Linked DNA regions of Nothobranchius furzeri. The protein of the gene in region 4 interacts with the protein of the main gene of each other region in a biochemical or structural test. Links are inferred from orthologs where the notes say so. Each region holds a gene or a part of one and is shown on either strand. Other genes may lie near its edges. The genes, in order: inpp5d, microtubule-associated protein 2, dynamin-1, grb2b, csf3r, GRB2-associated-binding protein 1 and ret.

Region 1 (3,500 bases), on a different chromosome or scaffold from region 4:
ATGTGCTGAAGTGCTTTTATCTTGAAACTTTTAAATAGAGCAATGTAATGTATGGATAGTAACCTAAACAGTGTCATTGTAAAGCCAAAGCTTGATCAGTTTAAATACTATTTTCCAAGTAAAATGTGCCCCAAACTAGTTAACTGTGGCTCCATGTCAAGTGGACCAAAGAAAGGAAGGGGGAAAAAATCAAATCGCTGGAGAATTGTTTATTTCCATTTATACAGCGTTTACATTCAATACAGGGCGCCATTTTACATTGTTTATTTATTTTTTAGTATCAAGGCTGTAACATAAAGAAAGCCAGTTCTTACCACAAACCATCTTTCAATCGCAAATATTGCAAAAAGGATTAATTTATCCTCATTGCGAACGTTTAAGACAAATAGCAACACTTAAAACAACTTTCCAACTGGAAAAAACTAATATCTGTGATAAACATCTGTTTAAGTACCGGACGAGATTATCTCTGCTTTCTCAATGTCCATATTGCTAGATATGCCGAGTTTTAAGGCCAAATCCCAGGGAATTTCATCTAAAAATGCAATTACCCTAACCATGCACGATCCCGTGGTGGCTAATCATTTTTTGGCAGCCAGTCGCTTTTTGGCACAACACCACCACAGCTGTGATGGGACCTACGGGCCACCGTAGAGGTGAAGGCTAGACTGTCCGACTTCAGAACCGCTGGGTTCCTGTCTTAGCACAGGCGAGGACCCGTACTCATAAGCATCCTGCCCGTGGATTCGGACACACCCACAGAGAGCAGAGCCTGTCTCGGCTAGGAGAAGCTAACTGTTAGCATTAGCAACTCCACTACAATACAGAACACATTTACGCTTGTTTTGTTTGTGGAGATAAAACATAAACGTTGCAGAGCAAACAGCGACAGTCAAAGTACCTCTGTTAGCCACTCTGATGAAGACAACAATGTCAAAACGTTAGTTTCTTTTTATTTGCACCTATTAAATATTTAATCTGACCCGAATACTCCAGCCTCCTTTTTCTATTCCTCAGTTGCTAGTTCCAGCTGTTGAGCACCAGCACTCATTAATTTTTTCCCCTGTTAGCCAATCAGTGGCGAGATGTTTGCGTATCATAAATGCTGAACTCCAAATCCTGCCATTTTCCTCCCCTCACTCCCAAACACAAAGAGGACCTCCTGAAATAGGAGCGCCAGAGCTTTTTTTTTTTTTACCCTGAAAGCAACTCACAAGGCATTTATTCAAAGAGACCACATCAAGTGTATTGAAATGAGCATACAATGTTTCAGGTATATAATACACCACTACTTTCTTTTATATAATAACTATTGTCTAAAATTTACCTCATGAATTATACATGTTTTAAGGATTCTCATGGGGGCTTCCTAAATAAGGCTGTGCCCTTTCAACTCTATTTGTGTCTAAATTATTCTAACTTCTGTATCTTGTTTACTCAAAGAAACCCAAGTCAACTAACTGTCTGTTCACTAACTCAACCGCTGACATCTAAAACCTTCACATATCATTACAGGAAGTTGCCACTGAAAAATGATGACATGTAATTTCGTAACAAATTCCTGAAACTGTCACAAACATGTGACATTAAATTTTTCTCAGTCTATACTAGCAGTTTAAGAATGAATATTTCTGCTTTGATCTGCTCTGCAGGCTTCTGATGGCGTTCCTATCAGGTTCTTCACCATGCTGCCTGAGCTGGTGGAGGCTTATCAAAGCCCCAACATGGGTCTGGTCACGCATCTACAGTACTCCGTCCAGAGGGAGGTGGAGCTGGATGAAGAGCAAGGTCAGAAACCTCCTCTGTATTTATCTATGCAGCAGTTAATAAATGTTACTGCAGCTTAAATAAGCACAAAACATAAAGAAATGTGTTTTAATATAATTGATTTCATTCAATAGAATTGCATTTTTTTTGTATTTTATTTTTGTTTCTTGGTAATGAATCATATTCAATAAACTTTACTATGAGTTAGTTAAAGGTGTATCTAATTCTACTCTAATTTCCCTCTGGGGTTAATAAAGTATCTTTGATTTGATTTGATCTAGTCAGGTCAGGACAGTATTAGCAACCCATTTTTCTCCTACATTTTCTACGTAGCAGATACTTTGACTCATCGTAGCACTGGAGTCGTAAATGATCTTAAAGATGGCCAAGTCAATTTTAGAGGAAAGAGAATGACTTCACAAACCTTCATGTGGCATAAAGCAGTACCAAGAAGCATTGTTAATAAAAGACATCAAACTGTATGCATTTTGAAGCTTTTTGTGCTCTTTATATTACAGAAACTTCCAACCATCCACCACAGCTCCCCCCCAGGAACTTCACCTCAGAAAGTGAATCCAAGACCAGCGAGCAGGCCAGCAAGTCCCTATCAGACACGTACCTCATGAGGCTGCAGTACATGGACCTGTCTGTGTACGGTCACATTTAAGAAAATTACTGAGCATGCAGCACTATCAGAAACATGGAGTTGTGGTTATTTTCCATTGACTTTGCAGGTTCATGACATTAATTTTCGTCTGTTGTGTTTTACCTCCAGACTGTCCGAGGAACATCAAACGGCCATCCAAGAATACTTCAGGACTGCAATCTGCGTAGATGCTGAGCAAGTCCAGAACGGCAACCCTAACCTCCCTGGCCTCAAGAGGCTAATCCAGGCAGTGTGTAAAAATCTAAACAGGTGCATCATCCAGTCAAAAGAACATCCAATATTGTTTTGGCGACTCTGTTCGTCTAACCACAACGATATCCCTTTTTTTGAGACAGTGAAATTTCCAGAATCCTGCCAACTCTGGAGATGCTCCACAGAGCAATGGACCAGCAGCTCTCCCCTGGGATTGGACCAAGACATGTGGGTGTCCTTCATCCATAGAGTTGTTGTCACCACACACAAACATGTTTGCCTCATCCGGTGTCACGTCCTCATTTTCCAGATTTTAACAGATTCAGGACAGAGTGTGTCCTATCGGCTCGAGCAACTCACTAAACTGCTCTACTCAATAGAAGATAAGGTACAGTCCAGCATTTTCTGCTCCCCTGTTTTCAGACACACCAACAGCACATGTTGCTTGTGGATGAAAAAAAGACTTCTCTGTTCCTGTTCCAGGCTAAAGGTTCTGTTTTTGAGTCGGTTGGATATGACGGAGGCCACAGAAACTCTCTCATACCAGTTGCGTCCTTTGAGGTGCTTCCCATTGCTTTTACGTTGTGACACAAATAAAACGAGACGCAGTAAAACACCTGGAGGTTTGTGGTTTATGCCTCCTGGTTTCTTTTGGCTTGCAGGTCAAACAAGAATCTCTCGGTATTTCTACAAAAATGGTTCTGAAGGTGGACGTTGAAAGTGGGAAACTCTACTTTAAGAAGTCAAAAGATGGACCTGAAGACAAATACTTTGTACACAATAAGAGTGAGTAATCTTTGACTTTATTCATTAGCATGGTTTTGTTGTCAGCTTGGGTCAGATGATGGTCAGCTTAAGCTAAAAACACTATTTT
Region 2 (2,604 bases), on a different chromosome or scaffold from region 4:
AAGGAGAGAGCTCTGGCCACAGGTTAAACATTCCTGCTTTAAGAAAACCGTTCAATTTCATTGTTTATGTGCTACCTGGGCACTCTAAATATTTATTTAAAATATTTATTTAAAATTAAATCAAAGGAAATTGTAATGGTATGGAATGTTTATTAATTACTACTTAAAAAATGAAAGTGATGGGGAAGAAGGTCGACCATATTTTTTAACCCTGTCTGTTTAGCTTGACGTCTGATATATATATATTTATATATGTGTGTGTGTGTTTGTTCTCACGGTGCGGGGGCTCGTTAATAACGCCTAGGAGTAGTCCAGGCCTGCCAGTGATAATGCTCTGGGTTTTTTTTAACTTCCTTTTGCTGTTGTGTTCCCAGGGGGGGGTAATGTGCGTATTGAGAATGTGAAGCTGGATTTCAAAGACAAGGCCCACGCTAAGGTCGGCTCCATGGATAATGCCAGCCACACTCCCGGAGGAGGGAATATCATGGTGATGAAACATTTTTGAAAGTTCAGATGAATCTGCCTGACTCTTTAATAAATAAAATTGTTTATTCATATTCATCAGATCGAGAGCCATAAGCTGAGTTTCCGTGAAACGGCCAAAGCGCGCGTGGATCACGGCGCAGAAATCATAGTCACCCACTCCCCGGGCGTTGAGACCGGGGGCACCTCTCCTCGCCTGTCCTCTGCCGACGGCATGAACATGATGGATTCGCCTCAGCTGTCCACGCTGGCGCAGGACGTCACCGCCGCCCTGGCCAAGCAGGGCTTATGAGCTGCTAGTACAGAAAAAAAAAAAGAATCACACCACCACTCTTCTCCCCCTACCTTCGCCACTCGCTATGAAGCATCCGGTGAATTCCTCATGACCCTTCAGTTGAACACAAGTGACCCCTACAGCTGTAGTTGATGAACCGTCTTGTTCAAGTTTAAAAAAACTGCGAAATATTTCACTCCTCTCACAAAAAAAGGGAAACAGTTTTGTTATTTCATTCCTTCACTCAAATACTCTGTTTTTATTGCTAGCCTGAAGGTTTGTGTGGCTGTGATTGTCTAAGAATGCGTTTCAATGATTGTACAATGGTTTAATGTGTGTGAACAATCCACTTGTGGTTCACACTCGGAGGTGAACTCCTTCACGGCCACTCGTGGTACTGAAGCGATTCTAGCTAATTGTCTTAAAAGATACAGATGTACGAAAGATTTTAAGGAAAGACGTAAACGAACGGGCATGTCTGCTAAGATTTGTTCTGTCTTTGTTGGACTTCAATGTTTTAAATTGTGTTTTCTTGCTATGTTTCCTTTTTATATAAATGTTACCGTAGTGTTACAGATTTGTACCTTCCCCGTGGCTGCTCTGGCTTGTTAGCATTTATAATAACCATTGCAGTTAATGTAAAAATGTCGAGCGCTAAACAGCTAGCTTTCCAATAGATTATTTTTTGTTTCTTTTCTGCGAACAGACCTACTGTTAGCTCTGGGTTTTGTCGTTATTGCCGTAGCTTTACGAGGGTACACAACGCTGTTATGCTGGCGTGGCAAAATAATGATGATTACGTTAGATCTACTGTCTTAAAGTTTTCAGTGTGAGTGTAAATGGCTGGGATGCGTTCACGTGCTTAAGGTGACGTTCTGAGAAGCCCTGTGATTTCTATCATTTTGCTAAGACTGGAGTGTACAGTGTGTTTGAGTAACTAAAGGGTCTGACGTCTGTTAGAATTAAATGTAAGAAGTATGAAGCTTTATATGAAAACATTCCAGTGTGACGGAGAAGCTGTGTTGTGATTGGCCGGTTTTGACCGGCGCCAGAAGCAAAAGTGACAAAGAATGAAAGATTTTTTTTCTACTACTAGCAGATCTTATAATTCAATTAAAAAGGATCAATCAAAAGAAAATGCTTCCGATTGTGGAACCCCCTTTTCCCGTCCTGACTGATGTTTTCCTGTGCTTCTTCTTTTCCAACCACCCACCCTCCCCCGCTCGTGTAAGTGTATTTAAAACAGACCATGTAGATGTGTGTGCACTATTTCCAATATTCGAGACGTTCTGATGACAAATGCTCTTACAGGATGATGACAGCATCAATAAAGAAAATAAAGACTGACTCATTTCTGTTTATTTTATTTCGTTTTTATGAACGTTATCGGCTTTCTCAAGTACCTCACTCAATCAGGTCAAACAGGGTTAGATGACATTGCATATGGGTAAATTACCTTTATTTAAATTGCACCTTTTGAAGACCTACAACCCCCAAAGGCACTTTACGACACAACAGTTATTCACACAATCACACTGGTGAAAAGCTAAAGTTGTGAATCTTCACTAGTGTCACAGTTTGACTCATTTACGGTTATCATGCCAACAATTTCGGCAGACTTTGCAATGCACCACGATTATTTCAAATGCTTTTGTTTTCATCGATAAATAGAAGCTGTCAGATATTTGTCTTTTTTATCAAAGCATGTCTGACACAACACGCCGTCTCCCAAAAATCATAACCATTAGCCCCAATGACAATGTAAAAGTGTAAAACATTTTAAACTTTTAAAGAGAGACCAGGCAGCTTTGGCTTGCTTTTAGCACCCCCTAGTGTTCGTTTAGTGG
Region 3 (3,500 bases), on a different chromosome or scaffold from region 4:
CCTTGAGTTACATCTCATGCAGACTAGTCTTGAGCAAAGAAGGGGAAAAACACAGTCTTCCGTCCCGTTACACCGTTCAAAGTTTGTCAACCCTCTGGGGCCTCAACCGATTTCCTGCCCTGCCTGTTGGCCCGTTGCACCTCTGTTCAGAGCCCCTCCCTGATGCTCAAGCTTCTGACTATCTTTAAGAGAAAGCCAAGACACCCTGTGGAAAAAACTCTTTTTGGCTGCTTTGATCCAAAACCGCGTTCCTTCTGACGTTTTTCTGATGTTTTTGATCAGAGTACGCAGAGTTCCTGCACTGTAAAGGGAAGAAGTTTACCGACTTTGATGAAGTCCGTCAGGAGATCGAGGCTGAAACCGATCGAGCAACAGGACATAACAAAGGAATCAGTCCTGTCCCCATCAACCTGAGGGTGTATTCCCCCAATGGTAAGTCACCTGAGCCACACCTGAGTGACATCAGACAGAAAGGGTCCGTGCTGACTACGGTGTGTTTGTGCAGTGCTAAACCTGACTCTTGTGGATCTCCCGGGGATGACGAAGGTCCCTGTGGGCGATCAGCCAGCTGACATTGAACACCAGATCAAAGAAATGCTCCTGCAGTTTGTCACCAAGGACAACTGTCTCCTCTTGGCTGTTTCTCCAGCCAACTCTGACCTCGCCAACTCTGATGCTTTGAAGATTGCTAAGGAGGTGGACCCACAAGGTCTGAGACCACATTGACCTGCAGACTTGACTCTACCATCCACCTACGTCGTGTGCATGTCCATCTAACGTTGGTCCAGTGTGGTAAAGCTTGTTAATGTGCTGCAGGTCTGAGGACCATCGGTGTGATCACCAAGCTGGACCTGATGGATGAAGGAACTGACGCCAGGGACATTCTGGAAAACAAACTTCTGCCGCTACGCAGAGGTATGACATCACGGCTAACGCTAGTTGCTCATTGGTTGTCAGTTGTTTATTGTCAGCAACAATGTGAAACATTTTGTGGTGTCAGGTTACATTGGCGTGGTGAATCGAAGTCAAAAAGACATTGATGGAAAAAAAGATATCACAGCAGCTCTGCAGGCCGAGAGGAAGTTCTTCCTGTCTCATCCTTCGTATCGTCACCTGGCTGATCGAATGGGCACTGCCTATCTACAGAAAGTCCTCAACCAGGTAGACACACATAACTTGTCCCACTTTAGTTTCAGTGTTTCTAGTTCTGAGTTGCCGTCAGTGTTTTGGATCCAAGTAGCAAAACTCTGGAACCAGACGGAAGTCCAGATATCTGCAGGTTAACGCCCTGAAAGTCTTGAGAATATCCTGGCATGGTCCTGCGATCATTCAGTTTGGCTTCTCTAAGTTCAAGATTCAGGTATGTCAGAGGAACACCGTCTTCAATAAAGTCCTTCTCAAAGTGAGAAGACCGGTCCATCCTTTTTATCAAACACGATTTAAGCTTCTGCAGCACCAGTGAACACCTGCTTCTAGTGGATTTTCGTCTGGAGGTCCTGAAAGCTAACTCCTAGCTAGCGGATTCCAGCTCTTACCTGTTCCTTTTGGACTCAGGTTGAGGCTTCTGGAGCTGTGTCATCGTTTTTAGAAGGTTTGGTTCTGAGTTCTAATGTTTCTTGAGGTGATTTCTGACCTAAAGTAGCAGATAAGTCAGATGTTGCCTTTTTGATGTTTCACCTTCTATAGTTCAGCCCTGCTTGCTGCCTCGTGGTTGTGTTGCTGTTGTTTTGTTGTCTGGTCCAAAAAACCTTCTCAAACCACAGAAACCGTGCTCGTTCCTCGTTCCTGCTGCCACAGTAACAGAGGAATTCTCTGTTTCCATAGCAACTGACCAACCACATCCGGGACACTTTGCCAGGATTACGAAGCAAACTACAGAGCCAGCTGTTGTCCATTGAGAAGGAGGTGGAGGAGTACAAGAACTTCAGGCCGGATGACCCAAGCCGCAAGACCAAAGCCCTGTTACAGTCAGTACTGGTATATAACAAAGTACTACTCAGAACAACTCGGTACCACACCGTACTTTAGGCATGTGTGTGTGTGTGTGTGTCAGGATGGTGCAGCAGTTTGCGGTGGACTTTGAGAAGCGGATTGAAGGTTCTGGAGACCAGGTGGACACATACGAATTATCAGGAGGAGCAAAGATCAACCGTGTCTTCCACGAGCGCTTCCCCTTTGAACTGGTTAAGGTAAATGCACACACAGAGCAGTTGCCATGGTGATTAGACCCAAGTGAACCGCTGTCGGTGATGCGTTTCAATGGCAGCTGGAGGGTGATGAGAAGACTCTACGAAAGGAAATCAGCTACGCCATCAAGAACATCCATGGAATCAGGTGGGCAAAGCGACTGTCGGCTACTTAGGTTAGAATACTCACCGATCTGGTCTCACCTGTGTGGTGTCGCCTGTGTCCACCCAGGACGGGTCTGTTCACACCTGACATGGCATTCGAGACGATTGTGAAGCGTCAGATCGCTCAACTCAAAGAGCCGTGTCAGAAGTGTGTAGACCTGGTGATCACCGAGCTGGTCAACACCGTCAGGCAGTGTACACAGAAGGTACCCCCCCCCCCCACCCATACACACACACGCACACACACACACACACACACACACACACACACACACACACGCACGCACACACACACACACACACACACACACACACACCAACCCAATGGAGAAAGGTGAAGTTGCTGTTAACCAACCATGAACTTCTATCTATCTGTCTATCTATCTATCTATCTATCTATCTATCTATCTATCTATCTATCTATCTATCTATCTATCTATCTATCTATCTATCTATCTATCTATCTATCTATCTATCTATCTATCTATCTATCTATCTATCTATCTATCTATCTATCTATCTATCTATCTATCTATCTATCTATCTATCTATCATCTATCTATCATCTATCTGTCTATCTATCTATCTATCTATCTATCTATCTATCTATCTATCTATCTATCTATCTATCTATCTATCTATCTATCTATCTATCTATCTATCTATCTATCTATCTATCTATCTATCTATCTATCTATCTATCTATCTATCTATCTATCTATCTATCTATCTATCTATCTATCTATCATCTATCTATCATCTATCTGTCTATCTATCTATCTATCTATCTATCTATCTATCTATCTATCTATCTATCTATCTATCTATCTATCTATCTATCTATCTATCTATCTATCTATCTATCTATCTATCTATCTATCTATCTATCTATCTATCTATCTATCATCTATCTATCATCTATCTGTCTATCTATCTATCTATCTATCTATCTATCTATCTATCTATCTATCTATCTATCTATCTATCTATCTATCTATCTATCTATCTATCTATCTATCTATCTATCTATCTATCTATCTATCTATCTATCTATCTATCTATCTATCTATCTATCTATCTATCTATCTATCTATCTATCTGTCTGTCTGTCTGTCTGTCTGTCTGTCTATCTATCTATCTATCTATCTA
Region 4 (4,048 bases):
AGTTTATCTGCAAAATCAATCACAGTATAACCAATAACTACAGTAACGTTGCAGAGAGTTTCTTCACAGCAAAAGTTATGGAGGGATACAGATTTTATCAGGCTGTGTGGCCTCGGCTGCCAAAATGTGTGCCCCCCCCCCATCAATAATGCATTTCATCAGGCCACACAGCCTGATAAAATCTGTATCCCTCCATAACTTTTGCTGTGAAGAAGAAATCATCTTCAAAGTTACTGTACTTATTGCTTATATCGTGACTTATTTAGCAAATAAACGATTTCGTGATAACAACGCCAACAAAAACAAAGTGTAAACCGAGAGTAAATTCACCGGAGAGCGACGTCAGGGTAGCTGCAGATTTAAGGGAGCCAAATTTAAGACTTTTTAAGACCTTTTTTAAGGCCACTTTGACCAAATTTAAGCTATTTTAAAAATTAAATTTAAGCGATAATTTCCAGCTCTTGCCTGGAGCCGGTGCTAACCACGTCGCGAACGTGGGATTAGCCATCCAGTTACCATTAAACTTGCCCTTCCCCATGGCGCAAGCTCCCACCAGCTTAACCAGCTAATGTGCTCATCTAAAAATAGCCCCCTTTCACAACCAACTGACTGCGTACGGTTCCGCTTACGGCAACATCGTACACAAAAAATGCTGAACACTAACTAGAGATTCACGAAATTTTTATAGAAATAAAAGAATCTTGTTTATTGGGTCTTTGGTCATTTAAGACCTTTGGAAACTGGATTTAAGGATTATTTGTAATTTTTAAGGACTTTTAAGGCCTTAAATTAGGAAAAGCTAATTTAAGACTTTCTAAGACTTTTTAAGGACCCGCGGATACCCTGTACGTGTTTCCATGGTCACGTCTGGTTTTACAGTATTATAGTATCAAAGTGTTTTTCTATACAAAGTATTCCCAACGGAGCTGGGCTAGTGCCTCCTCCTACTTTGCGCGCTCCCGTGAATGGGGAAACAATTTTTGACGGGGGTAACTACTTTGGCGCAACACCGGCAGCAACTTCGGGGACAAATTTTCAAGTTTAAAAGTAAGTCAGCTAATTTAAAATGTTTTTTTTTTATATCCAAAGAAGTTATCTATGGTTGGTTAGTTGCTTAGTAGTTGCAGCTTCGGTGGCTAGCGGGTAGTAACTCACTTATATTTTTAATTTAATAAACATATACACAATTTAAAAAGTAAAAGACTCGTTAGATATTTATATTGAAACTAATACGTAGAAAATATAACGTTATCTCCCGTGTCATGTGATGCAAGTCTGTTCCATTTAACCGTTTTCTTTGACCAAGGAAGGACAGTGTCCTCGTAAGCAAGGCGCCTTGACACTGAGAACCACCCTGTATGTCTGCAAAGGGAAAAGGCGATGGCACACACATGTAATGGTTTCTGAGGCCAAAACAGAAATTATAATACAACTCTGGTTAAATGCAAAGCCCTCCGAAAAACAGAAATGAGGGGAAAAAAAAAACCCATCAGCACCACTAACCACTTCTACAGCAAGTTTTTCAAATATTTACATTCACAGGAAAATTGTTTATGATTTCTGCTTCATCAGACTGCGCTTTTAACACTTAGGGGGAACATCTATTCATAGCAGTTAGTTAATATTAATGGAGAACATATGGGTTTGGTCCAAGGGTCAGGCCACAATCTGATAATCCCAACAAACCTTTGAGAACAACAACCAGAGATAAGTGGGTTAACGCAGACAGCTCGAAACCTTTTGCTGCAGGGTTGAACTGATAGTCGCCTTATCCAATTAGCTCGTTTGCTAACAGGTGATGGGGACAGAACTGATGAGCTCACACCCACACAGCTCTACCAAATAAGGCCGTTAAACGTGGACAGCTAGCCAGATGCTGGCAGAGGACTAATAATAATAATCATAACAAACAAGCGTGTTGCAATTCTGCAAGACGCATAAAAATACAAGGCATAAGTTAGTGATGGTAGATAGTTTACTAGTTAGTAATAACGGCATTACGTGGGACACTAACGGTGTTATGAAGGAGGTTTTTTGTCACATAACGAGTTGTTGTATCTGAGGAAGTCGAGCCCTGACTGATAAAAGGCTGCTGAACACAAAGGATCACACAAGCACATTAGCGGTGTCATTAAACATCAGGTCATGAAAATGGATGATGAGACGGAGGTGCGACAGAAAAACAGCTGCCAGTTGCCCAAATGTCTCACCTTCGCGTCGTTTCCCAACTTTAAACACAAAACCCAAGCCCGCACGTCGCGTTAGTGGCGATGCCGCCACCAGAACCCGTCTAAAACCGCTTCCCGTGTAAAGGGATCGAATCGGTTCCAGAGAGTAGACTGCGCCCACTGTTCTAGAACGTTAGCACCCCGGCTAACGTTCGGTCAACAATAACTGCGATGCAGTGTGATGATCAAACTTATCGAACGGACTACATTAGATAGAACAGCAGAAGGCGACGTTTAGAGGGGGTTGTAAAAGATTAGTGATGATTAAAGCCCGATAGAAAGCCTCATGATGGGAAACGGGAAAAAGGAAGAAAACACCTTTTTTCTTAGCGCAAGCTGTTGTTGCTAGCTTACAGCTGCTATCGTGAACTTGACTCTGTGAGAAAACACTTTATTGTACACCACATTTATGCGAAACGGTAACGGCGTCTTACCGCTTGCGACGATCGGTTGGGAAGAATCCACCGTAGGGAACAAAACGTTACCGTGTTGTTTAGCTCTCCCTGCTCCCCATAAGAGACAACCAACAGTGTGTAGCGTCGCTCACAGCCCGTCCTAGGAGCCCGAAGCTAGCTGGTAGCAGAGCGTTTATTTCCGCTTCCTTCTGCCGAGCTGGTGCTCTTCAGACCCGAGCTCCTCCCAACAGTCCATGTCAACCCAGCCACCTCTGTTACCGTTTCATCCACAGCCAGGACACTTTTAAACAGACTGGAAAAACGTTGATATGTGATTATAGGGACTTTATCTGGTGACCCGAATCAGTTCAGACTGAAACTTATGGTGTTAAAAGTGAAATTTGTCCAAAACCTAAAAATAAAGTACCTCTCTGCCAGATTAAAAAAACTGCAGTAAGGGATTAGGCAAACAGACGATAATGTTTGATACGCCAGTCTACAACCAACTGAGTGGTTCACTATTTAGCACATCTGCTTTCAATTTTTGTTTTACGGGAGAGATCAAATGCTTTTAAAAGGCTGCCCCCTAGTGGGAAGATACCATCATGACAACAGCACTGGATTGAGCACAGCTGCCTGCTGTCTGTCGCTGGTGTAGCATCGGGCCGCCATATTGGATGGGTCTCCATTCGCCCCGCTACATTAATTTCTACTGAGGAAGATACTTACTCTCAACAAACAAACAAAAAAACCCCACATTTTATCAAGTTTTGTTTCCACAAAATCAGACATATGGTAAGGCATGACCATTAAAACATAAATATAATTAAACAAAAAAAATTACTATATAAAATACCATCAGGTAGGCTAGAAAAGTCAATAGTAACCACATGATCTGTTTACAATTGTCGCTGGTTGTTGCAAATGAAGGCCGCACAAAACCAGGCATAGTTGCCCACTCTGCATTGACTTCAGTTGGGTTTGGAGAGCGAGGAACCTTTCCAATATGGCAACAATGTTTTTACGCCCTCCAGCACCCAATGGGGCGTCTTTTTCAAACTTCTAGAATAAGGCTCTCACACTTTCATGTTTTTATGTTAGTTACAAACGTTAGTGTTTGTTATTATATTTCTGTGGTAAAAGATGATTCAACACGTTTAGATACTGATAGGACGTTTGCCCTGTTTGTTGTATAAAAAATGTGTTCAGTAAAAAAAACCAATGTGGCATCTACAGATTCATGTCTATGGGATTGAAGGTCTAGTGGAAGAGCAACCACCCATGTGGTAGGAAGTGTGAAATGAAAATTCATGTAAAATATTGGAACAAAACATTTAATTGCAATTTAAAGAGATGTTTCTGTCTTTATTAGTCCTCATTTTATTTTTTTTCATATTGTTTTTACGTTGTTCATTCATCATGTGT
Region 5 (3,500 bases), on a different chromosome or scaffold from region 4:
AAATGAAGATGTGGCAGGCTAGTCCATTATTTCAAAAACTTCATTTCTGCAACTCAAATTGCTTTTCAGTATCTTGTGTGGCCCCCACGAGCTTGTGTGCATGCTTGACAACGTCGGGGCATGCTCCTAATGAGACAGCGGATGGTGTCTTGTGGCATTTCCTCCCAGATCTGTGTGAGGGCATCCCTGAGCTCTTGTACAGTCTGAGGAGCAACCTGGCGCCGCCTAATGGACCGAAACATATTAAACCTTCTTGCTGCAGCACGTGTGGATGTGCCATCCTGGAGAAGTTGGACAACCTGTGTAACTTCTGTAGGGTTAAGGAATCGCCTCGTACTGCCAGTAGAGAGCCAAAACTAGCACGAGTGGGAAACCAGCCGAAAAAGATCAAGAGGGAGAAACTTGAAGTGACCTCTACATGTTAAACCAGTCCTGTTTTGAGGGTTTTGTAATTGTTGCCACTTTAGTGCACCTGTCGTTAAGTCCATGAACACCAATACAGCTGAAAGTGATTAACAATGCCCTCAGCTGCTTAATCAACCAGGAAATTATCAGACAGGTTTAATGGATTTCACGCCAGGCCCAATAAAAAGTGTTCCTTTAATTCTTGTGAGCAGTGTAGTTTCTCCTCCAAATGGTTAGTAAAGCATTTGAGGATTCTAGTTATTATTATTATTTTTTAGCCCTTTAGGCCTTTTTACTTTCTTGAAAATCAGTTTTTGCAGTTTTGTGTTTTATGTAGCTCCTTTGTTAACTTTCATTACAAAAACAATGCACACCCAACCCATTTACATCACATTTGAGAAACAGAAACATTTCAGAAAGACATTTAAAATATTTATTTGAATGAATATTTTAACAAAAATTATTTAAAATTAATTTTAGAAGAGTTTGATGCATGTTGCAGTCTTCACAACAACTATAGAGATTTGTACTTGTTTAGAAAATGATGACCAGCATTTATTTAAATTAATTCTATATTTTTATAGGTTTTACATTTATGTGTTGATAAAAAAGTGAAGATTTATGTGAACCTGAATAAGATATTTTATAATGGGGGTCTTCCCTTGGACCAGTGGTGTGGCCAGCAATTTTCTAGGCGTGGCCATGCCCCCTCTGACCACCCCTTGGGGGCACCACTGGTGAAAAATAGAAAATCTATTCTAAGTTTTCCCGCTTTTTCCATGTTATTCATTGTGATAAGATATTGACATGCTTTTATTTTTTCATATTTAATATCAAACAAATGTAAATTCTATTTTTAGTAACTTGACTACATAAAATATTATTTTTATTTACAATTCAACAGCAATACATGAAACTGGAACGATAGACGGTAAGATCAGATTTAAAAAAAGGGAATATGAGCTAGATTTTTTTTTCAATTTTGAAAAAGTCCATAAAATTCTATATAAAAACTTTACTTGACCAGTAATTTTCATAAACTCCTACCTGCACCAACTGGCTCCAGGATGATGGGCACTGATGCTGCCTCTCCAAGGTTATTCTCCGCCTTCACGTAGATTTTCATTTCAGAGAACAGAACAAAGTTAGAGCGAGGGATGGTGTAGTGGTGGACTCCTGAAGGTAGCTCATAGGTATAATTCTTGTCTAAGTCCCTGAAATGATCACAATATGTGGGAAACTCAGTTCTACAGCCTAATGAAAATACACTCTCAGTACATGCCACTGTTTTGTAGAATTTACAGTTACCATATCTGAGTGTAGAGGGTGTATTTTGTCGGGAGGTGTGTCTCCTGCAGTCCTGGGTCCCATCTACAGGTGAGGGTGGGGCGATAGGTGAAGTTTGCCTGACAGTTCAGGTTCTGGGGGATTTGTGGTGGATCTAATAGTCAAAATAAGCGCTAAAAAGTAAGTTTTACTGAAAATTTACCCGCACATTGTAACGCAGTCAGTAGCTCTTGTCTAGGTGTAAGCATAGACTGAAATTTGATTATGCAAAGTAGACATATTCTGCAACAAATCCCAAAAATGTTCCCTAACTGACCAGGATGCAGCGATCTGCTAAAACAAGACAATTTGTTTTTTTTTTACAGGTGGATAAAAACATAATAAAATCTGATTATTTTTAATGAATACTTCCATCAAACACGTGAAAGAACTCAAAATGTTCTTACATCCAGCTCGGATCTCAACTCCTGCATAGATTTGAAATGAAGACTCGTTGTCGGGTAAACAAACGCCGCAGGTGAGGACTGCCCTGGTGTGATTGAAGCTAGATACCACAACCTTAGAAACCCTGAACCTCTCATTGGCCACGGGGCTGCTGGGAATAAAGTCAGAGCCAAGACGCCACTCAATCGGAGCAGCTTGTGCGGTGACCAGAAGGCAGTCCTTTCTGATGACGCAGGTGGCGGTGACAGGTGACCCCAGAGGCACAGCCGAGCTCGAGGTGTGGACCTTCGCACATGGCTGGGTGTCGTCCTCTAAAGACGAAATAAAATCAACGGAAGTCAGAGAAATTCTGAATGAAGAAAAGAAAACTTGTCTTTGTAAGGAGTGTTTAGACATTTCCATTTTGATGACTTTCTAAAAGCAGCACTCACCGTCGCTCGCCCCACCGGCAGATGTGACCAGCACGGCCGTCACCAACATCCATGAAGACAACATCATGACAAAACCTGTTGGGCAGCCAAATTGAAGTCCATGCTCTTAAATTTACAAACTTGCATGCTTTTTCTATTAAAAATAGGAGAAACATCTGAACTGCCCTGCTTTTCAAGTGATGAAGGAAAAAATTAGAAAGAAAAGTAACATCAAGTTTGATGTTGTTGCTGTTTTGCTTTGGTCTCCACGACTCTCGATACATCTGTCTTTATTTGTTGCCTCTGAATCAGTTTGTCACGGTGCTTTTGGAGCTCAGAAATGTTCACATTTATGGTTTCTTATGTTTAAAGGTCAACTTCACTTATAGTTTTAATACATTTGCAGTGGTCTCTAGTAGAAATGCATGCCTTGCAAGTCATTCTCTAGGGGAAAAAAAAGCTCCGGTGCACCTGTTTGAGGACGTAGGAGTCAGCAGGAGGGGAAGTTAGCTTCAGACAGCAGTATAGAATCCAATAATGTTAAAGTAGAAATTACATATGATTTTTCAGAAATCCGTAAAAGTGATTGTCTTACCGTGTAAGCAATGCATATTTTTCTTTTCTTTGCTAAGCCTGCACCGCAGAGCTCTGTGCAATAGGAAACTGAGCGCCGACCAGAACTAACCAATGGCGTTAGCTTATGTGCTTCAAATTTAAGGAAGTACCTCAGCTGATGCAGAGTTGATGAACTTTTTACAGACAAGTAAGTCTTTAAAATATAAATATATGAAAATGCAACATGACATGAAGATAATACTTGTGAAATAATGCGTTTCAGCTTTGTTTGTCGGCTATAGAAGCACATAAATAAACAAGAAACGTGAAGTCGCCATCTTAATAAAACGGATCGACAGACGTTTTGTGTGATATGCTTGTCAGCCACTAGATGGTGCC
Region 6 (4,143 bases), on a different chromosome or scaffold from region 4:
CTGCACTCCCTGCAGATTAGATCTGACTTTTTACAGATTAGAATTTGATGTTTATTATCTCACCTAAAATCTAGAAGAGATTTGTTGTCATGTTTAAAAAAACGTTTTGTTTCTGAATTAAGAAAAAAATGGCAAAAAAGTATGGATATTTTTTTTAATGAGATGCTGATGTTAGTGGAAAATTAATTAAAACAAACATAAAAAGATCTAAAAAATATTACGGGTACTTTTACTGTCATTCTGTTGTGGAAAACATTCAATGAAAACTCTGAAAAGCTGCTTAAACCTGCATTTTTTTATTATTGTGGGCCGATCTATGTTATTAAAATGATCAGAGCCACTACTGAGTAATGTGGTAACTTGAGGGGAACAGTGAAATAGTAAAGCTTTTGCTGTATGCTTCTTCATGTTGAATTCAAATGAAATATATACAAGAAATATTTAATAATAAGAATAATCATTGTATGTATATGTAACAGTGATGTTAGGGCTAAAAGGCAGAATATACGTTTTGTGTGTTTGTTTTTTCTCATTAAAGTGGAGCTTAACGTTGTCCCATATTTGAGTTGTCTCTGTCCCACGTGTGCCAAGTTGGGATCTGGTCACCCTTAGGTGTGATGCGAGCGCCTCTACTTGGAAGTCATTTGGCTCACGTGCCCGGTTATTTTTGGGCACTGGAGCAATGCAGGGTGTTCTCCAGAGGGTGGGCATTCCCCCAGAGTCACCCCCCGTTCGCCTCCTTGTCATTAGTTCTATTGTTTTGTCTTCCCATGTGGAGCAGCAGTCCACAAACCAGTCGGTATGGTAAGTGCGCAGCTCCAGAGATTCACGACTAAACCTGCGTCTGTTTTAAGGGCAGAACAGCAGAGGCGCTTGTGCATGAACGTTATGAGTTTGGTAATAAAAACGGTTCAGTGTGTGTGAGTGTAAAGCTCAGGGGAACGCTGATGAATGATGTGGAAGAAAAAAACATTATAGTTTATTTATGAAATGTAATCATTTAATAGTAATTATCACAGAGTGGTGGCTGTGGTAAATATTGGTATAATATTACAAAATGATGCCTGATATTTGTTGTATTGAAAACTTATTTTAACATACAATCGATCATCAAGGGGGTTTCGACAGTTCTCAGAAAAATTTAGTAAAAACATTGAAAAATGTCCGTTCTCATAACTCGGGATTTAGTTTTTTGCATCAGAAGACCTGAAAACTGGCGACGGTTACTGAAAGTTTTGTTTGAAAACCATTCCTCACACATGGGGGGGGGGGGGATTTTTTTCCTGTCTAACAGAATAGGGGGAGTGAGCAGGAAGGGGAGGAGCCAAAGAGAGGGAGGAGAGGAGAGAAGGAATGTCTGAGCTGAGGGATTGTGTTTGGTTATGGAGGGAGGAGTGATTCTGTTGGGAAATAAGTCTCTCAGGAGGAGGTGTGACTGCGTTAGTCAGCAGACGCGGAGCAGCTCTGGTGTGTGTGTGGATGAGCTCCTCCCAAACAGGATTCTTCTCAGCCAGGGAAACGTGTGTGAGGACAGAGCTGATCTGAGGTCCTGAGTTGTTTTGGGTTCTTCTGATTCAAACTCCTGCCGGCTGGAGTCTGGTGCGAGGTTCTGCTGGTTGAGTCTGTGGATTCAGACGGGATCTTCACCTGATCTGACTCCCGACCGGCTGTTGACAGGGTGACTGACTAACCAGAAACATCAGGATGAGCGGAGCGGCAGATGTGGTGTGTGAAGGATGGCTGAGGAAATCCCCACCAGAGAAGAAGCTACGGAGATACGTGAGTCCTCTCAGTTTCAAAAACTCATCTATTTCTTTATTTCTAACTAGATTAAACACACTCCACCGGCACTGGACTGGTGTTGATGGATGCTCATCTGAGTATTTTTTCTTAACTTTAATCATCATCGGTGTGCTGTCACCGTGGACGTGAGTCATTTCCTAAAGCCATGACTGTAAAACAATAAACACGTCCAGCAGAGAGCAGCCGCTGAGCTGAGACCCAGAAACGTTCTCATCTAACTTTTGTCTGCTGATAATAAACCAAACTGTTAAATCTGGATCCACAGCACCAGGTTTCCATTTCCTACTGTAAATCTTTAACAGTTAACTCAACGGTTAGTGGAAACGACACAAAGTTCATTCTGCATCTTTAAATTCAAATCTCCAACACCTGATGCCAGAGAGCTGGATCGGACACACACACACACACACACACACACACACACACACCACATTTCTGACATGCCTTCCCCGTGACTTGACCTAATCTCATCTCTCCTCCATATTTCCTCCCGTTTGCAGGGAGAAGCAGAACAATGTCTGCGGTCTACTCTTCCATCACTCTTTCTCTTTCATTTGTTGTACTCTCTCTTCCTCTCCTTTGGTCACATGCCTTCCTTTCTCTGTTTGTACGGAAAGTAAAGGAGGACTAAATCAGAGCAAGAGGGATCTATTTTTAGTAGCGTTGCTGTTTGAAACCTTCAGTTCAGAGAAAACGAGCTCAGATATGGGACATCCCAGCATGCTTCTAACGAATCAGCTGGTTTCAGAGATGTTTGCAGGAAAAGGTTTTTAGGAGGGAACCACTGGACAGGACAGGCGGTCAGCAGGGGAAACCAAAGAGGAAGACATCATAAAAAAGATTTAGTCCTCGCATGTACAATCTAGCACACACACACACACACACAGCTATGTTTCCATTGTCAACACCATAAAACCAGACTCGAGCGGCCCTAAAGGCTGCAGCAGCCTCCACGTGTTCCTGTAAAGAATGTGGATGAAGTTCCTGCTGCAGCCTACCTCCTCTTAACCTCCCTGCTCTGTCGAAAGCAGTGTGTGTGTGTGTGTGTGTGTAGGAGAAAGTGCGTTCGGGTGTGAGAGAGTGTGTGTTGCGTAATAAACTAATCGCTCTCAGCTGGGCCTGCCTGGAAGCTTTTAGGGCATCTGGAAACGCGGAGAGAGCGTAAACGTGACGTCGCTGACGTCAGCGGGTGTACGCGTCACAGATGCGTTTATGACAGTCTGACGGGAGGGAAGCTGACCTGAAACTTGTTTTCAAATGTAAACAAGTCTGATTTCACATTGTTGAGTTTTATTCTTCATCCTGTGATGGAACCATTAAAAGTTCTCCATGACTTTCGGGATCGATAAATGAGTGAGCCACAGCCACCCTCTGAGAGTCTGATGGCGACGTCACGTCTGAGGTTTCATGGACTCGGCTCTAAAGTTGGTGAGAGAGAATCGACATGTAGAGGGTTCATCTAAATAAGGAGATGTTTCTTTTGGGGGTAATTTTAGTTTGGAGGCAGGAAAAGGGAAGAGATATTTTAACTCTATTGTAGCTGCTTCCGGCTGAGGTCAAAGGTCAAAGGAGCAAACATCAGGAAACCAGAGGAGATCGCTGCAGGAAAATAACTTATCTCTATTATTACTAATATGTCGCCTTCACATGATTAAATCAAAAATAGAACACTTCTTCACAGAATAATTTTTAAAAAGCGCTTTTTAAACTTTTTTTATTCTCTGGTTCAGTTTAGTGGTTAGAAATAAAGTTTTATGTGGTTTGCTGATGTTGCTCGGATCAAAACTCATCTGTCATCAAACCTCTCCAGTCTCAACAGTGTTTTTATTTTTTAACCAAATTACTATTTTTTATGCATGAATATTAAAGTCAGACATGTTCATGGAAACAGGCGGAGAAAGCACGGAGAACGCTAATATTTGATCCTGTTGATTAGAATCAGGATCTACTTAAAACATCACCCTTGTTATTCCTAACATCTCAGGGAGGGTGGGGGGTTGTGGGGTGGGGGGGTAACGCCTTATGTTTATGTTTATTTATTTGGCCGACGCTTTTATCCAAAGCGACTTACAATGTATAACCTATAGGGCATGTTGTGATCTGTGGGGGAAACCGGAGTACCCGGAGGAAACCCACGCATGCATGGGGAGAACACCCAACTCCACACAGAAAGGCCACAGCCGAGTTTCGAACCTGCAACCTTCGTGCTGCGAGGCAACAGTGCTAACCACTGCGCCACCATGCAGCCCTGATTATTTCATTTCATTTATTTATTTAAGGACCGTGCACATTAATATACGTTACTGTAAATGTGCCAGTGTTAGCCAGCAGGCTAATTTT
Region 7 (4,222 bases), about 62 Mb from region 4:
GGGTTGACTCTCTTCATCCAGATCCGTAGGTTTTTGTGGGTCTGAGATCGCTTCCAAAGATTCATTCGTTTCTGACTGAACCCGTGGAAATGTGGGCAACAAAACCCGACCCATTTTACCGCTAGCTCTACATTTCACTCGTTCACAGGTGGAAAAAGAGGTCATAGGTTAACATCAATTTCCTGTTTTGGTTTAAGTTTTTACAATCTATATGATAATTTACTGATTATTTTTGTTTTGTTTGTTAAATATTTTCACATCCACACATTAAATTAAAATTAAAGTGTAAAAAAATATATAATATTTACTTGGGGGTGCTATGGGGGTGCTATGACTTATCCAGGGGTAGCTATAGCGCCCCATGACGCCGCCACTGGACCCGCTGCTCCTCCACATCGAGAGGAGCCAGTTGAGGTGGCTCGGGCATCTGGTCAGGATGCCTCCTGGACGACTCCCTGGTGAGGTTTTCTGCATGTCCAACCAGGAGGAGGCCTAAAGGTAGACCCAGGACACATTGGAGGGACTATGTCTCTCACCTGGCCAGGTAACGCCTTGGGATTCCCCCGGAGGAGCTGGCCCAAGTAGCTGGGGAGAGGGAAGTCTGGGCCTCTCAACTGAGGCTACTGCCCCCGCTACCCGACTCCGGATAAGCGGATGAAAATGAATGGATTCTAAATATTTGGGTTTTGTTTATATATTGTTTTAGTTCTAAATATGTAATTATAACTTTATATGTTTAGAAATGTCTCTATCTTCGTATATTTAGTTTGGTCTTTTTGTTAAAAATTTTATTGTAAATATTTAGATTTGATATTTTCAGTCTCTATTCCAAACAGATAAATTAAATTAAGGCCTTATATTCAGATTTGAGTTGACATTTTTAAATGTCTTTGATTAAAATATTTCACTATAACTTTAATTATTAAATGTTTGTATTTAAAATTTTAGATTAAGCTTAATATACATACCTGTACAGTAGATTGGATTAAAAATATTTAGAATTCACAATAAACTGAATTTACTAAACAATTTCAATTAACTTCATCTAAATGCGTTATGTTAACTGTTACACATTTAGATTGTAGTTTTTAAATGTCTGTGCGTTTATTTTAAATTTGTTTCTAAAAGGTTATATCAAAATGATTCTTTGACTGTAGTCAAACATCGTTTTCGTGTTTTTTGTTGATCCAGACTTCACACATTTAGAGGTAGTTAGTTAGAATACACACCCACCCCCACCTCCTGCTGGCTGTTAATGAGATGACTGGCCTGAGGATAAATGATGCTCTTATTTCCTGTAGATGCTGACCTACCTGCTGCTGCGGAACCAGCGGGCAGAGAGCGGTGGAGCAGCAAACCTCCTCCCTTTTCCTCCCCCTCCTCCTGCCCCCCCCCCCCCCCCCCCCCCCCCCCAGTCAGCCAGCCCCTCAGCAGCCGCAGGAGCTCTTCTGTGGGACGCGGACTCCAGCTGGGCTCCCCGGACGCAGGACGCACACCTTCAATAACGCATTTCTGCGCTTTTCTCTCGGTTTTACAGCTACTCCTTCTTTATTTAGCTCATCTGAGGGGAACTTTTCCAGGAGCGACTGGATTTTCATTGAGAAACTTTCCCTAATGGTTTTCTAATATGGAGTCAAGTTGTGGCTTCTGTCGGGGAAACGTCGCTGCGCTGCAGCTGCTGCTGCTGCTGCTGCTCGGAGGTGAGCTCATCCTCATTTTACTGTTTAACAAATTAAACAACGGAGGAACCTACACATATTTATAGAATTGATGTTTGACTAAAAATCTGAAGGGAAGGCGTCACTTCTTAATAATTAAATAATTATGATTAACCATAAATCTGCAGAACAGTTCCAAATTTAGCCTTTAAGGTGATTTTGGCGACAATAAAATCAGCCAATCAGCTGTTTCCATTACTTTTCCTGTTACAAGAGAAAAATGCGTATTTTTATGTTATTGCAGAATCATAAATTAGTGCCTGTGCCAAACTGATCCAAAAACAAGAGAAGAGGTTTCTGAACTCTAACCTAAAGCTGAACACCTTTTGGAAGCTGGGTGATTTTTTTAAAGCATTTTTTTCCCGGAAGTAACCTGAAACTAGGACCCAGTGGTTTTGTTGTGGAGAACTTGCTCCATAATATTCTAATCCCATCCAATCCCACAGCCCAACTGCACAAACATGTCCTCTCGTGAAGTCTATTTAAAGTGTGGCTCTAAACTCTTGACTGCAAATCTTAGCAAGCACTGTGGTCCTATTAGAGGTCAATGTCAGAACTTTATCAGAGACTTTAAAGAATCTGATGCTTTTATGTGATTGAGACCATTTGGTATCAGAAGCTCTTCCAGTTATTTAATTAGCTGAATTCCTGCAGTCTGTTTGGACTGTTTTGTCTCTGGAGCCGCGTGGTTGCTCCTGATGTGATGGAGATGAAAGGGGCGCTGAGACCTTCAGCCTTCCTAACTCATCACCTGTCTGCTCTAAAAGATCCTCGTTTGCTCCAGGGAGAAGGAGAGGTGAGCTGCAGGCAGGTGTGCAGCAGCTGCGCTTATCTCTGGGCAAACACTGGCTGTTTGTTTTCTGCAGGGAAATATTGCCTGCCCTGTTATATAAGTGCGCACGGTGATCCAACTGCAGGACAGAACCAAACTTCTTGTAAAATGACCCATTAGATTGATCACTTCTGCTGCTTTTTAGTGATTATGATTATTTCACTAAAAGAGACATTTTCTACCAAAGACTTTAGTAAAATGGTAAATTTTACAGTTTAACAGCATGTTTGTGCTTATTTATAAGAGCTCTACGTCTTTAACAGGATCAGTACTTTCTGCAAAAAGGGCTTATTTGAATCCTCTTTGTTTTCGACCATCTGGTGGAGGAAATCAGTACTACAAGTGTTGTTGTTGTTATAAATGCACCTATTCTGGTTTTGAGGAGTTTAAACCAATTTCCGATTTTTTTTTTACAGATCTGACCTGCCATTACCAATTTTGTCTGATTCTGATCCTCAAACTCTCAAACAGTAATAACAGGAAAACTAAAACAATTATTCCAGAATTAAAATGTCTGCATAGAAAATCAGTCATCGCTAATAGGCTAACGCTTGGTAATGATGCGTTCACAGACCAAAACGTTTATTTAAAATCAGATTTTTGAGTTTCGGATTGGTCTTTGCATTTAATTCTGAAACCAATTTCAATGAATGACTCTTTTTAAAATTATTATTGAAGCTCTGGTTGATGTTTTGTCATTAAAAACATAAAATTTGTTTTCATCTATTAAAAATAGAACTTACCTGACTTTTATTTCATGTGTGAGAGCTACAATAATCAGGTTCTGATCCTTTTTTGGACATTTGTGCCGCTGATGTGGATGATTAATGGGAAAATAAGTTAAGTGGAGCAAGTTTTAGTTTCAGGATTCCAGTTTGGTGCTTCTGGTGTATTTTTACTGCAAGAACTTGAAAATTATATTTAAAAACTAACTGAAGCATTTTTTTAATCAAGAGTTTTCAAAGATTTGTGTGTGTGTGTGTGTGTGTGTGTGTGTGTGTGTGTGTGTGTGTGTGTGTGTGTGTGTGTGTGTGTGTGTGTGTGTGTGCGTGTGCTTGTGTGTGTGTGCGTGCGCATGCGTGTGCATGCATGTGTCCGCATGTGTGTGTGCGTGTGCATGTGTGTGTGTGTGTGTGTGCATGCATGCGTGTGTGTGTGTGTGCTTGTGTGTGTGCGCACGCGTGTGCATGCATGTGTCCGCATGTGTGTGTGTGTGTGTGCGTGTGTGTGTGCATGCATGCGTGTGTGTGTGTGTGTGAGAGAAGAGAGAGAAGTTTAATGAGAAATTAATGAGAAATTAAAATCAATAGTGCAATATAATATAACAAAGAAACATTTGCAGGTTTACAAGCAAACACACAACTTACACAATGCTAAGAATGGGCGCGGGCAGAAGCATAAGCTTATAAGCCCAGCCCCCCAAACCCTTTGAACTTAAACAAAATTTTAGAATAGCGTACCGATTCCATAATTTTTACATCATGTTTGAAATGTATGGGAATATATTCAAATCCCCATTCTAGCTTCATAAAAAAAAAAAAGACCTTTAATGTTTTATGCATTTTTTCATTGACTTGATTCATAATATTTAATCACATTTGATTTAAACATACCCTTAAACTTTACCATTGTTGAACAATCTTTTTGCTCCTGGTCTAATTTATTCCACACA

The links.
Region 1: the proteins of grb2b (region 4) and inpp5d interact in a test that uses a peptide from one of them, tested with the Homo sapiens proteins (2 studies listed by BioGRID). The link is inferred for Nothobranchius furzeri from reciprocal best matches to the Homo sapiens genes GRB2 and INPP5D.
Region 2: the proteins of grb2b (region 4) and microtubule-associated protein 2 form a complex in vitro, tested with the Homo sapiens proteins (3 studies listed by BioGRID and IntAct). The link is inferred for Nothobranchius furzeri from reciprocal best matches to the Homo sapiens genes GRB2 and MAP2.
Region 3: the proteins of grb2b (region 4) and dynamin-1 form a complex in vitro, tested with the Homo sapiens proteins (5 studies listed by BioGRID and IntAct, with this or other methods). The link is inferred for Nothobranchius furzeri from reciprocal best matches to the Homo sapiens genes GRB2 and DNM1.
Region 5: the proteins of grb2b (region 4) and csf3r form a complex in vitro, tested with the Homo sapiens proteins (2 studies listed by BioGRID, with this or other methods). The link is inferred for Nothobranchius furzeri from reciprocal best matches to the Homo sapiens genes GRB2 and CSF3R.
Region 6: the proteins of grb2b (region 4) and GRB2-associated-binding protein 1 form a complex in vitro, tested with the Homo sapiens proteins (5 studies listed by BioGRID and IntAct, with this or other methods). The link is inferred for Nothobranchius furzeri from reciprocal best matches to the Homo sapiens genes GRB2 and GAB1.
Region 7: the proteins of grb2b (region 4) and ret form a complex in vitro, tested with the Homo sapiens proteins (3 studies listed by BioGRID). The link is inferred for Nothobranchius furzeri from reciprocal best matches to the Homo sapiens genes GRB2 and RET.

Annotation. Positions count from the first base shown.
Region 1 is NC_091756.1:60,966,763-60,970,262, forward strand, and holds part of inpp5d (phosphatidylinositol 3,4,5-trisphosphate 5-phosphatase 1), read left to right. Parts: intron 1-1,652; coding exon 1,653-1,788; intron 1,789-2,285; coding exon 2,286-2,418; intron 2,419-2,542; coding exon 2,543-2,683; intron 2,684-2,769; coding exon 2,770-2,854; intron 2,855-2,936; coding exon 2,937-3,014; intron 3,015-3,109; coding exon 3,110-3,187; intron 3,188-3,288; coding exon 3,289-3,412; intron 3,413-3,500. UniProt on the Homo sapiens protein: Phosphatidylinositol (PtdIns) phosphatase that specifically hydrolyzes the 5-phosphate of phosphatidylinositol-3,4,5-trisphosphate (PtdIns(3,4,5)P3) to produce PtdIns(3,4)P2, thereby negatively regulating the PI3K (phosphoinositide 3-kinase) pathways.
Region 2 is NC_091742.1:61,535,030-61,537,633, reverse strand, and holds the end of microtubule-associated protein 2, read left to right. Parts: intron 1-374; coding exon 375-487; intron 488-565; coding exon 566-775; 3' UTR 776-2,104; downstream 2,105-2,604. UniProt on the Homo sapiens protein: The exact function of MAP2 is unknown but MAPs may stabilize the microtubules against depolymerization. They also seem to have a stiffening effect on microtubules.
Region 3 is NC_091750.1:35,487,615-35,491,114, reverse strand, and holds part of dynamin-1, read left to right. Parts: intron 1-282; coding exon 283-432; intron 433-505; coding exon 506-709; intron 710-816; coding exon 817-915; intron 916-1,000; coding exon 1,001-1,161; intron 1,162-1,824; coding exon 1,825-1,967; intron 1,968-2,053; coding exon 2,054-2,189; intron 2,190-2,266; coding exon 2,267-2,334; intron 2,335-2,418; coding exon 2,419-2,557; intron 2,558-3,500. UniProt on the Homo sapiens protein: Catalyzes the hydrolysis of GTP and utilizes this energy to mediate vesicle scission and participates in many forms of endocytosis, such as clathrin-mediated endocytosis or synaptic vesicle endocytosis as well as rapid endocytosis (RE).
Region 4 is NC_091752.1:67,730,130-67,734,177, forward strand, and holds the start of grb2b (growth factor receptor-bound protein 2b), read right to left. Parts: upstream 2,801-4,048; 5' UTR 2,663-2,800; intron 1-2,662. UniProt on the Homo sapiens protein: Non-enzymatic adapter protein that plays a pivotal role in precisely regulated signaling cascades from cell surface receptors to cellular responses, including signaling transduction and gene expression.
Region 5 is NC_091745.1:71,081,511-71,085,010, forward strand, and holds part of csf3r (granulocyte colony-stimulating factor receptor), read right to left. Parts: intron 2,643-3,500; 5' UTR 2,635-2,642; coding exon 2,568-2,634; intron 2,448-2,567; coding exon 2,139-2,447; intron 1,847-2,138; coding exon 1,714-1,846; intron 1,620-1,713; coding exon 1,453-1,619; intron 1-1,452. UniProt on the Homo sapiens protein: Receptor for granulocyte colony-stimulating factor (CSF3), essential for granulocytic maturation. Plays a crucial role in the proliferation, differentiation and survival of cells along the neutrophilic lineage.
Region 6 is NC_091742.1:87,973,461-87,977,603, forward strand, and holds the start of GRB2-associated-binding protein 1, read left to right. Parts: upstream 1-1,343; 5' UTR 1,344-1,704; coding exon 1,705-1,779; intron 1,780-1,810; exon of another isoform or gene 1,811-3,210; coding exon of another isoform or gene 3,211-3,231; intron 3,232-4,143. UniProt on the Homo sapiens protein: Adapter protein that plays a role in intracellular signaling cascades triggered by activated receptor-type kinases. Plays a role in FGFR1 signaling. Probably involved in signaling by the epidermal growth factor receptor (EGFR) and the insulin receptor (INSR).
Region 7 is NC_091752.1:5,725,373-5,729,594, reverse strand, and holds the start of ret (proto-oncogene tyrosine-protein kinase receptor Ret), read left to right. Parts: upstream 1-1,422; 5' UTR 1,423-1,627; coding exon 1,628-1,700; intron 1,701-4,222. UniProt on the Homo sapiens protein: Receptor tyrosine-protein kinase involved in numerous cellular mechanisms including cell proliferation, neuronal navigation, cell migration, and cell differentiation in response to glia cell line-derived growth family factors (GDNF, NRTN, ARTN, PSPN and GDF15).